3 linked regions of the Xenopus tropicalis genome follow. The protein of the gene in region 1 purifies or fractionates together with the protein of each later gene. This does not show direct contact. Links are inferred from orthologs where the notes say so. Each region holds a gene or a part of one and is shown in the gene's direction. Other genes may lie near its edges.

The links.
Region 2: the proteins of relb (region 1) and nfkbia purify together in Homo sapiens (affinity purification with mass spectrometry; 4 studies listed by BioGRID and IntAct, counting the BioPlex papers as one, with this or other methods). This does not show direct contact. The link is inferred for Xenopus tropicalis from reciprocal best matches to the Homo sapiens genes RELB and NFKBIA.
Region 3: the proteins of relb (region 1) and nfkbie purify together in Homo sapiens (affinity purification with mass spectrometry; 3 studies listed by BioGRID and IntAct, counting the BioPlex papers as one, with this or other methods). This does not show direct contact. The link is inferred for Xenopus tropicalis from reciprocal best matches to the Homo sapiens genes RELB and NFKBIE.

The regions. Positions count from the first base shown.
Region 1 is NC_030684.2:71,135,732-71,139,244, forward strand, and holds part of relb (transcription factor RelB), read left to right. Parts: intron 1-418; coding exon 419-726; intron 727-3,513.
Region 2 is NC_030684.2:109,511,889-109,515,984, reverse strand, and holds the start of nfkbia (NF-kappa-B inhibitor alpha), read left to right. Parts: upstream 1-1,290; 5' UTR 1,291-1,410; coding exon 1,411-1,646; intron 1,647-2,816; coding exon 2,817-2,925; intron 2,926-3,277; coding exon 3,278-3,485; intron 3,486-3,588; coding exon 3,589-3,677; intron 3,678-3,790; coding exon 3,791-4,051; intron 4,052-4,096. UniProt on the Homo sapiens protein: Inhibits the activity of dimeric NF-kappa-B/REL complexes by trapping REL (RELA/p65 and NFKB1/p50) dimers in the cytoplasm by masking their nuclear localization signals.
Region 3 is NC_030681.2:2,157,250-2,161,450, forward strand, and holds the start of nfkbie (NF-kappa-B inhibitor epsilon), read left to right. Parts: upstream 1-1,395; 5' UTR 1,396-1,486; coding exon 1,487-1,821; intron 1,822-4,201. UniProt on the Homo sapiens protein: Sequesters NF-kappa-B transcription factor complexes in the cytoplasm, thereby inhibiting their activity. Sequestered complexes include NFKB1-RELA (p50-p65) and NFKB1-REL (p50-c-Rel) complexes.

The DNA.
Region 1 (3,513 bases):
CTAGTACTAACTGTAGATATTAGTATCACAAGTAACTGATCATGACCGCTCCAACAGTTACTGTAATATATTCAATGCCGTCACTTCTAAAGTCTGCCTGAGGTGTGAACAGCTAAACAATGTGTGCGCCTACAGTCTGAGGTCTTTCAGGTGTGAACAATGCAGGGGCTAGTTAATCTCAGTATTGATACCATTTCAATCTTAGACAAAGGTAAGTAGTCTCAGCAGCCAGACAGATGGGGAGTCACACAAGGGGGGGGCATGGGCTACCAGTTGGACAGCACTGGTTTAGATGATACAGATAAATCATTATTTTGTGCATATTATAGAATAAAGTTTAATAATATTAAATTGATATATTTATCACCAGCATTGTTTCTTTCTAACCTAATTTCCTGTTTTTCTTCTTTTTTATTAGAAGATGTCATGGATCTTATTAATTCTGACATGCCTGTAATGCCCTCGACTTCTTCGACTTTGTTTGCTTGTGAAGAAACTCCTTCTGATATGCTCAGTACTGTAACTGTCTCACATTGTGTGCCCCGTGAGCAATGCCCATCCACATCCTGGGCCTCTCAGCGAGAAAGTCCATATCCAGAATTAAAAATCACAGAGCAACCAAAACAGAGGGGGATGCGCTTCCGTTATCAGTGTGAGGGGAGATCAGCTGGAAGTATACTTGGGACACAAAGCACAGAGCACAATAAGACCCTTCCTGAGATTGAGGTTAGGACATATTACAGACCTGCCACACTGTTTATCTATGTTCATTATCTTGTTGTATGGAGTGATGAATTATTTTAAAGTACCCTTGACGGTACAAAAATTTCAGACTGCCGAAAGAGCTAGGGAACAGGGATATCAGGCAGCAGGGGGCACAAAGTGTGATATTTTTCAAGGATCTGTGTATCTGTGGTTTGTGCATATACAGGTATTTGAGAAAAGTCACTCTGTAGTGACCAAAACATTGGATTTTGCATGTAATTACAAAAATATATTTTTGATTTACAGTATTTGCCAAAGACCTACATATATACATATATACAGGTATAGGACCTGTTATCCAGAATGCTCTGGACCAAAGGTATTCCGTATAAGGGGTCTTTCCATAATTTGGATCTCCATACCTTTAGTCTACTAAGAAATCAATAAAACATTAATTAAACTCAATAGGATTATTTTACATCCAATAAGGATTAATTTTATCTTAGTTGGGATCAAGTACAAAGTACTGTTTTATTTTTACAGAGAAAAAGGAAATTAATTTTAAAAATCTGAATAATTTGATTAAAATGGCATCTATGGGAGACAGGCTTTTCGTAATTCGGAGCTTTCTGGATATGGGGTTTGCGGATAAGGTATCCCATATCCAATATATATATAAAAAACAACAAGAAAAGGCGGCACTCAAGTTTTTTTCAGAAAGTGCAAAAAGGTATATTCAGTTCATAGTAATAAAAACATCTTACATGTAGCCGGCATGTCTGTAGTAATTAAGCGATGTTTCAAGCAAGCCCTGTGCCCTTTATCAAGCTCAAACAAACAAACAGTAGTGCAGGTGCAATTCTCCAGTAGTCAAATACAGCAAGTGACACAATAGGTGATACCTTGGCAACGGTTATAAACAATCCATTATATCTACCTACACTCCCAGTATGTGTAACCCTTTGTGCAAACAATTTGAACATAATATATACATTCATAAAAAGAGATATAGATCATAGTCTTTGTTTAACCCTTTTGGTGCCAAAGACTGTAATTTTTGTATGCACCAAACTTCTCTCTGTTTCAATTTGAGTTCCCGATTCCCTCCATATTTTAGAGGCAGAATCCCTTCCAGGACCATACATATCAATTGGTCTGCTTTATGGCCAGTATCCAACAAATGTTGGGAAACAGGTAATTTGGTGTTTCCCAGATTAATGGAGAATTTATGCACAAACTGGTCACATCAAAAGTAGCCAGTAGTACATCCCCCCTGGTTACTTTTGATGTGACCAGTTTGTACACCTCAGTACCGCACAAGGAGGGCATCCAGGCCTGCACCTGGTTATTGAACAATAGGGCTAATTACACTGAACAGCATCTTTCTTTTTTTGTACAGATGTTGGAGATAATTTTACAATGTAATTACTTTACCTTTAGAGACCAATTCTATTTACAGTTACATGGAACTGCGATGGGTTCAAATGTCGCCCCGTCATATGCCAATGCCTTTATGGCAATGATGGAAGAACTACACATTTATCGCGATGTGGACTTCACAGGCCACTGTGTGGCCTGGTGGAGATATATTGACGATTTCTTTGTGGTATGGCGGGGTGACATGGATTCCTTATCACGGTTCCACGGTAACTTGCAAAAGATATATCCGACGATATATTTTACATTAACTTTTGATCGCCAGCAGATTCAGTTTCTGGATGTCCTGATTTATAGGAATCAGGGAGGTGGTATTGATACATCAATATACACCAAACCCACAGATCGCAATCAAATTTTACATTATCGGAGTAATCAACCAATACATACTAAAAGATCAATACCCATTAGTCAATTGTCTAAAGTAGACAGGATTGTAAGTGATGAACATGAGAAAGCAAAACAACAAGGAGTGATGTGTAATAAATTCCGAGAAAGGGGTTATCCACAACATGTTTTGCAACAGGCTATAAAGAAGGTGGGTAGAACTAATAAGAAATGACAAAAAGATGTCATATTTCATGTGTCACGCAGTTTAGTTCCTGCAGCAAAAATTTGGGGACCATTTTGCCACACCATTGGCACATTTTGCAAAGGGGTTATCCCCAAATTATGGATTTTAAATCACCACCACTCTTATCTTATCGTAAAAGTAAAACGATAGGTAATATGGTCACATCCTCGAGGGTAAAAGCCCAAAGATTGGAGAGACGCACTGATACACACCTGGGTCTGAGAACCCCAGGGATGTATCGATGTTCAGGCTGCACGCAAAGCCATAGTGTGATCAAAGGCAAGGAATTTATACACCCAGGCACAGGTCATAAAGTCCTATTATGGGTGCACCATACTTGTATCTCTAAATATGTAATCTATGTGTTGACTTGTTCCTGTGGACTCATCTATATTTGCGAGACCACTCAAATGGATATGGGCCATAAAGCAAACCAATTGAAAATTATGGTCCTGGATGGGATTCCGCCCCTAAAATATAGAGGGAATCAGGAACTCAAATTGGTGGATACATTTGGTGGATACATAAATTACAGTCTTTGGTGCCAAAAGGGTTAAACAAAGACTATTATCTATATCTTTTTTTATGAATGTATATATTATGTTCCAATTGTTTGCACAACGGGTTACACATACAGGAAGTGTAGGTAGATATAATGGATTGTTTATAACCGTTGCCAAGGCATCACCTATTGTGTCACTTCCTGTATTTGACTACTTAATTGGAGAATTGCACCTGCACTACTATTGTTTGTTTGAGCTTGATAAAGGGCACAGGGCTTGCCCGAAACGTTGCTT
Region 2 (4,096 bases), about 38 Mb from region 1:
GCCGCCCCCATTTGGCGCCCCCTACCCGCCGTGCGAGCGCGCATGCGCAAACCACCTCCTCCTCCCCTGCCGCCGCGCTAATGCGCATGCGCCAAAGTTAAAACTCCCATACAGAGCAGTGGGGAGAGGTCCCCATTGCTCCGTATGGGAGCAAAATTTTGAAATTTGCGTGCGGCGGGGCAGCATGCCGCCCCTATGTTTATGCCGCCCTAGGCCCGGGCCTGGGCACATCACTAGTGCAGAGCGCACAATAGTATAGTCAAAGTATTCCATGATGTTTTTGGTTTACTACTTTTATTCCCACACAAGAATTACGGACAGATAACCTTCGGCAAATGGCAATTAAGTTATTTCACCTAAGCAAGGTACCTGAAACTATTATCGTTATAAAAATAATAACTATTAAATTCATACAATCTCATTTCATCCCAACAATAATGCACAAAGGGGCTTATGTTTTTTTTAAAGCAAATGCAAACTGCAATTAGGATTGCCACCTGGAGGTTATTATACTGGCCTGACCAGTTAAAATACTGCAATATCCCAATGTTAACTGGGTAGAGAGATGAAAATTTAGGAAGACCTGTATTTCTTTCCAGTGGGAAAGCCTTACTACAATGCACAAAAGAGTGCAAAATTCCATGTTTCACCCACAATGCAACGTTATTCCCCAGAATCCCAGTGTAATCTTGCTGCTTATGACGCAATTTTTGCAGCCTTTTGGGGAACATTGCGCGAAAGTTGCATTGTTTGTAAACCCCTCGTTTCTGGAAGTTGCTGAAATAAAACAAAATGGCATTAGCATCAATCATTAGGTGCAAGTCGGTTGTGTGTGTGGGTTAAGGTGCAAAATGCAAATGGCTCCCCGGACGTTGAGCTCTTATGTATTTAGCATAATATCAATAGTCTGTCAGACGAAGGTATATTTAACGCATATAAATGCCGAGTATGATGTGGGGAACTAATGTGTATTTTTGCCCGAATCCCCCCAGTGTGTCCCAGGAATGGTGAGTGTGCTGAGAGGAATGTACATGGAGTAGCTGCGCACGTCTGAAAAAAGGGAATTTCTGAGCCTTGTACATATTTCTGCGCTCTTCCTTTTATTGTACCACAGAACTGGCTCCGTCAGGTTCATTGTGTTCCTATACTGACTTATTCTTGGAATTTCCCAGAGTACATAATAGTTCACAAGTAGGAAACTGAGCTCGGCTCCACCCAGAAAAAACCCCGGCTGTATATGTAAAAGTAGCCTGCTGGGGGAGGGAGCTGCCAGATCGCTACCAGAAGTCGCTCTGATCGGATGGGATTAGTATAGAGGAGGCTACAGCTACAGAACTTCACTATCGCAACTGGGATTCTACAGTGTCTTCTAAGCTATTTTGCGGGGAAGCTCAACAACCGGCCGCCGCCATGTCTGTGCCTTTTCACGATTACCAAGGGAATATGATGGAGGGAGAAGCTAGGGATCTCCGGAAGGACAAACTGCTGCAGGACGATCGCATTGATAGCGGCCTGGACTCCCTGAAGGAGGAGGAATACACGGCTATCATTACTGACCTCAGCAACATGAGAATGGAGGGCCCGCCGGACACATCGAACTATGAGCCGGAGCCATGGAAGAAAGAGGTCAACGAAGATGGAGACACGTAAGTGATAGAGAATGGGTTCGTTATATGGCTGGGGATTGTGCTCAGTATCTACTGATATTGTATAGGGGCGATGAACCTTAGTATTAGTACATCTAAAACCATTACATCTGCCTTGCACAGTGTATATACTGATAAAGGGATAGTACTCTATAGTGCTGCACTAATATATATATATATATAACAGGGACACCTAGGTTTGGGGCAGTGTTTAGTGTAGGATATGTAGATATTTACTAATGCATGACTTCTTTATGGTGAATGCACAGTTAGGTGCATGGGGCAGGCTACACTGCATAACACTGCAATTTATTGTGCAGCTTTTTCATGCAACCATAAACATGCAGTATTAGTAAGTTGTGCAAATAGTTAAAAACCCTTGTGCTTTTAATGCTTTTTTTATATCATGCATTGGTATTTGCAAGCATGCAGCAACGCCGGGCAGCTGTTAGATGGCTTGGTGCATGTTTGTTCTTGGTAGGGGAATTTTTTTGTTGGTGCAGAAGAGACGCCATATCTGTCTGGGTTTTCCCTTCTTCGTGTGAGCTGGAGGGAGGGGGGGTGGGAGGACACCTTGTTCTCTGACTTGCTGCCTCAGAGGGGTGGGGGCTGGCAGGCACCCAGGGGCAGGACTCTGGCTTTGGAAAGTCCCTGGCCAGTAGCCAGGAACACAACTGCACACACACACACTCTCACACTCACAGCAGAAAGCGGAAAACAACAGACAGATCTAGAGAAGAAAAAATCCCCAGACTTACACAATTGCATAGTTGGCTGGGGGAGGGGGAAGTACACACTTGTGTCACCACTGACTAGTATTGCAGCTCACCGACATGCCGCTATGATGAAATAGGTTCATTATGAATTATTATTTCCTATTGCTTGGCAGTTTCTAAATTTATGAAGTTTTATTCACCTCGATCTTTCCCACACACTGAACCTTAACACCACTTCACTTACTGGTTCCCAAAGGGGAGGGGGGGGTACATTTTCTACTTCTGAATGATGAAATAGTAAATACAGAAATGACATTTTGTAATAAGATGCTAAGATTGGAAAGCTAGTTTGTCATTTCCCATAAACCTGCTAGTTCATCTTTTCTTTTTTTATGGTTAAATGACACAAATTTGCTTCTCTATTTTAACATGTCCTTTTTATGTTCCCTTCTAGGTTTCTCCATTTGGCAATTATCCATGAAGAGAAAACCCTGGTGAAGGAGGCAATCCAACGTTCATACAGGGACCATTTTTACCTGAACAAGCAGAATAATCTGCACCAGGTAATTTACTTTTTATTTTTTTTCTAAACCTTGTAAAAACTTTATTTCTAGATTAGCTTGTCATGTGCCACCATTGTCGGTTAGGGCAGGGCTGTCCAACTGGAGGCCCGTGGGCCGGATGTGGCCCTCCAAAGGAATTTTAACATATAAAGTATAATAGAGGGCCAGTTTGTGGAATAATTGACCTATGACATGTAAGTTGGCCAGCACTTAAAATATTAATAGTCAGTGCACTCATAGCATGTTCATGAGGGATAGAATATAGTACAAGCTTATTCTGCAAGTTCAATTTTGTGTTTAATGAGAATGAATTTACTGATTTTTCTTTTTTTTTTTAATGTCTTTTCTGCAGACAGCACTACATCTGGCAGTAATCACCGAACAACAAGACATCAGCCAGTCACTTCTCCAGGCTGGTTGTGATCCAGAAATCCAAGACTTCTGTGGCAACACCGCCTTGCACATTGCCTGCAAGCAGGGCTCGCTTCGGGGAGTTGGGGTCATTTTCCAGTATTGTGAGAAACAACTGCCAGCACTTCTGCAATCTGTGAACTATGATGGTATGTATCAAACTTAATCTATAAACCTTTAGACGTGTGTTGTTGTGCTACTTGGCAAATTAGAATTAGAACTGCCTTGCTAATATCTTTCTTTCCGATGCAGGTCACACGTGCCTCCACCTGGCATCGATCCATGGCTATCTTGCAATTGTGGAAAATCTCATTAATAAGGGGGCTGATATAAATGCCCAGGTCAGTATTCCCCCTACTTCACTTGGCTACATACTGATGTTTCTTCCTGCCATGTCTATTGGATTCAATTTTGCCTCTAGATCTAAGAGAAATTTCTGTTTCCCTCACCACAGGAGCCTTGCAATGGTCGCACTGTGCTGCATATGGCCGTGGACCTGCAGAACTACGACCTGATGAAACTGCTGCTTAAGCACGGAGCAGATGTAAACAGAGTCACGTACCAAGGCTACTCTCCGTGCCAGCTCACATGGGGCAGAAATAACATGCTGATTCAACAACAGCTGGTTGAAGTGACACACAAGAATTTGCAGTACCTTCCAGAGAGTGAAGAGGAAGACAGTTCTGACTCCGAATATGAATATAATGATGATGAGGTGAGACCTAGAGACGAGTTCATCATAGTAATGGCATGGGAATGA
Region 3 (4,201 bases), on another chromosome or scaffold:
CCAGAGGCACAAACAGCCCCCCCAGCCCAATAAATAGTGACTGTCTGTGGCACCTTACAGCCCCCCTGGCATTCCCAGTACCCAGAGGCACAAACAGCCCCCCCAGCCCAATAAATAGTGACTGTCTGTGGCACCTTACAGCCCCCCTGGCATTCCCAGTACCCAGAGGCACAAACAGCCCCCCCAGCCCAATAAATAGTGACTGTCTGTGGCACCTTACAGCCCCCCTGGCATTCCCAGTACCCAGAGGCACAAACAGCCCCCCCAGCCCAATAAATAGTGACTGTCTGTGGCACCTTACAGCCCCCCTGGCATTCCCAGTACCCAGAGGCACAAACAGCCCCCCCAGCCCAATAAATAGTGACTGTCTGTGGCACCTTACAGCCCCCCTGGCATTCCCAGTACCCAGAGGCACAAACAGCCCCCCCAGCCCAATAAATAGTGACTGTCTGTGGCACCTTACAGCCCCCCTGGCATTCCCAGTACCCAGAGGCACAAACAGCCCCCCCAGCCCAATAAATAGTGACTGTCTGTGGCACCTTACAGCCCCCCTGGCATTCCCAGTACCCAGAGGCACAAACAGCCCCCCACAATCCATAAGAAGGAGGAGGAAGGGGAATGGGGGTTTTTTTAACCCCCTCTCTCTTTCCCTCCCTTTTTAACTCTGTTAGCCCCGCTCCCCCTTTACTCTGTTACCCCCCTGCCCTCCCCTTTACTCTGTTACCCCCCCCTTTACTCTGTTACCCCTCCCCTCTACTTGTTTTTCCGCCCTCCCTTTTACTCTGTTACCCCTCCCTTTACTCCGTTACCACCCCTCCCCTTTATCTGTTACCCCTCCCCTTTACTCTGTTACCCCTCCCTTTACTCTGTTACCCCCTCCCCTCTACTGTTTCCCCTCCCCTTTACTCTGTTACCCCTCCCTTTACTCTGTTACCCCCTCCCCTTTACTCTGTTACCCCCTCCCCTTTACTGCTGTTACCCCCTCCCTTTACTCTGTTACCGCCCTCCCCTTTACTCGTTGTTACCCTCCCCTTTATCTGTTACCCCCTCCCTTTTACTCTGTTACCCCCCTCCCCTTTACTCTGTTACCCCCTCCCCTTTACTGTTTACCCTCCCTTTACCTCTGTTACCCCTCCCTTTACCTCCTGTTACCCCCTCCCCTTTACTCTGTTACCCCCTCCCCTTTATTCCCCGTTCTGCCAGACTTATTAACCCTTGGGGGGTAGTATATTTTGCCTCTTGTTTTACCCCCAGACTGGTGCCCTCTTATCCCCCCCACACCTGTATCCCCATTCCCCACTCAGTATTACCCCCCAAATCCCATTCCTTTGCTGGGGTGCCCTTTGGGGTTGTGCAGCCTGGGGGCCCCTCATTTTATCATTTTTTTCTGCTCCAGTTCCCAGAGGGCCCGTGTCCCCCCTTGGTGCCTGTTCCTCTGTACGGCCGCTGGCAGTTGCCCCTGGCACAGTGATTGGGCACCCTGGCAATGTCGGACTACTGGGATGAGAAGAAGCTCCCGGCGCAGCCAGAGGAGGGGCGCTATGACTCGGGGGTGGGGGACTCGGTGCAGTCCCTGTCGGACCCGGCTGTCGGCCACCTGCAGTCCCTCCCTGAGGAGAGAGGCGCCGAGGAACCTGCCCCATCTGGGGACAAACTTCAGGAACCTCAAGAACTTGACAGACTGGACTCACTATATGGCTCCTCCTCCCTGACCGAGCTGCTGCCCGAAACCTCTCTGCCCAAAAGTGACTCTGAGGGGCCCGACACCCCAGATTCTCAGCAGCTGGAATGTCTCACCTACGTGTCTGAGGAGGGCGATACGTGAGTTACCCTGTCCCCACCCTGAGTCCCCTGCCCCCCAAACAGACCTGGGTGTCCTGGGAGTGAGAGTCAGACTTGCAGGGTGCAGATCACTGGCAAATACCCTGTTATATACCCATAGTGATAGTGAGGGGCAAATTGCACCAGTTGTATTAATTCCCATTGTGCCTATAAGGTGGGGAGCTGTGAATAGGGGTATAAAGTGGGTGAGGATGGTGTATAAGGTGGGGAGCAATAGGGGTGCTCTTTCATTGATTTAGTGCTGAGCCCAAATAGCCCTTGGGGAACCCATGCTGCAGTCTTTCCTGGAAATAGGGGCCCCCAAAACATGAATGAGAAATGGGGATTCCCTGCCCAGGAGGAAGTGGAAACAAAGAGTCACTCAGACTTGTGTCATAGGGAATTCCACTTGCTGGGAGTTCTGCACGGCCCCCAGGGGCCCACTCTCACCTGCTGTCCCTGATACTGTGCAGCCATTGGTTCCCCTACATTAGGTACAAACCCCCCCTGCCTGAGCCTGTCCTGTACTGTGCAGCCATTGGTTCCCCTACATTAGGTACAAACCCCCCCCTGCCTGAGCCTGTCCCTGATACTGGGCAGCCATTGGTTCCCCTACATTAGTACAACCCCGCCCTGCCTGAGCCTGTCCCTGATACTGTGCAGCCATTGGTTCCCCGTACATTAGGTACAAACCCCCCCCTGCCTGAGCCTGTCCTGATACTGTGTGCAGCCATTGGTTCCCCTACATTAGGTACAAACCCCCCCCTGCCTGAGCCTGTCCCTGATACTGTGCAGCATGGTTCCCCTACATTAGGTACAAACCCCCCCTGCCTGAGCCTGTCCCTGATACTGTGCAGCCATTGGTTCCCCTACATTAGGTACAACCCCGCCCTGCCTGAGCCTGTCCTGATACTGTGCAGCCATTGGTTCCCCTACATTAGGTACAAACCCCCCCCCTGCCTGAGCCTGTCCCTGATACTGTGCAGCCATTGGTTTCCCGTACATTAGGTACAAACCCCCCCCTGCCTGAGCCTGTCCCTGATACTGTGCAAGCCATTGGTTCCCCCTACATTAGGTACAGACCCAGCCCTGCCTGAGCCTGTCCCTGATACTGTGCAGCCATTGGTTCCCTACATTAGGTACAGACCCAGCCCTGCCTGAGCCTGTCCCTGATACTGTGCAGCCCATTGGTTCCCCTACATTAGGTACAAACCCCCCCTGCCTGAGCCTGTCCCTGATACTGTGCAGCCATTGGTTCCCCTACATTAGGTACAACCCCCCCTGCCTGAGCCTGTCCCTGATACTGTGCAGCCATTGGTTCCCCTACATTAGGTACAAACCCCCCCTGCCTGAGCCTGTCCCTGATACTGTGCAGCCATTGGTTCCCTACATTAGGTACAAACCCCCCCTGCCTGAGCCTGTCCCTGATACTGTGCAGCCATTGGTTCCCCTATATTAGGTACAAACCCCCCCCCTGCCTGAGCTGTCCCTGATACTGTGCAGCCATTGTTCCCCTACATTAGGTACAACCTCCCCCCTGCCTGAGCCTGTCCCTGATACTGTGCAGCCATTGGTTCCCCCTACATTAGGTACAACCCCCCCTGCCTGAGCCTGTCCCTGATACTGTGCAACCATTGGTTCCCCTACATTAGGTACAACCCCCCCTGCCTGAGCCTGTCCCCTGATACTGTGCATCCATTGGTTCCCCTACATTAGGTACAACCCCCCCCCCCCCCGCCTGAGCCTGTCCCTGATACTGTGCAGCCATTGGTTCCCCTACATTAGGTACAAACCCCCCCTGCCTGAGCCTGTCCCTGATACTGTGCAGCCATTGGTTCCCCTACATTAGGTACAAACCCCCCTGCCTGAGCCTGTCCCTGATACTGTGCAGCCATTGGTTCCCCTACATTAGGTACAACCCCGCCCCTGGCTGATACTGAGTGCAGGGGCCCAGTATGGGGGTGCTTGGGTGCTATTGGGGAGCTGCAGTGCTGGTGAATGTGGAAGTGGGAATCCAGACGGCTGTTTCCTGAGTGAGCGGCCAGACTGGTCTCACTGGCAGGGCTGGGGGGGGGGGGGTTGGTTATGATGTCAGAGCGGTTGAGGTTTCGGAAGTTTGTGCGTCAGATCAGTCTCTCGTGACAGGTGGTGGGGGACAGGGAGTTAACCCTTTCTTTTCAGTAGAGTAGCAGAACCAGAGGTGGTATGATGAGCCAGTCGGGTGGCTTGGGGTATGACAGGGGCAGTTTCTGGGGCACTAAGCAGCACTGCTGGATGCATGAATAGACCATACTGCTGTACTGGGAGCACTGCCTTCCCCTTTAATGTGAGCTCCAGCCAAGAGTCAGCTCATGTTGGGGTACTGGGGGGGGTGGCACAC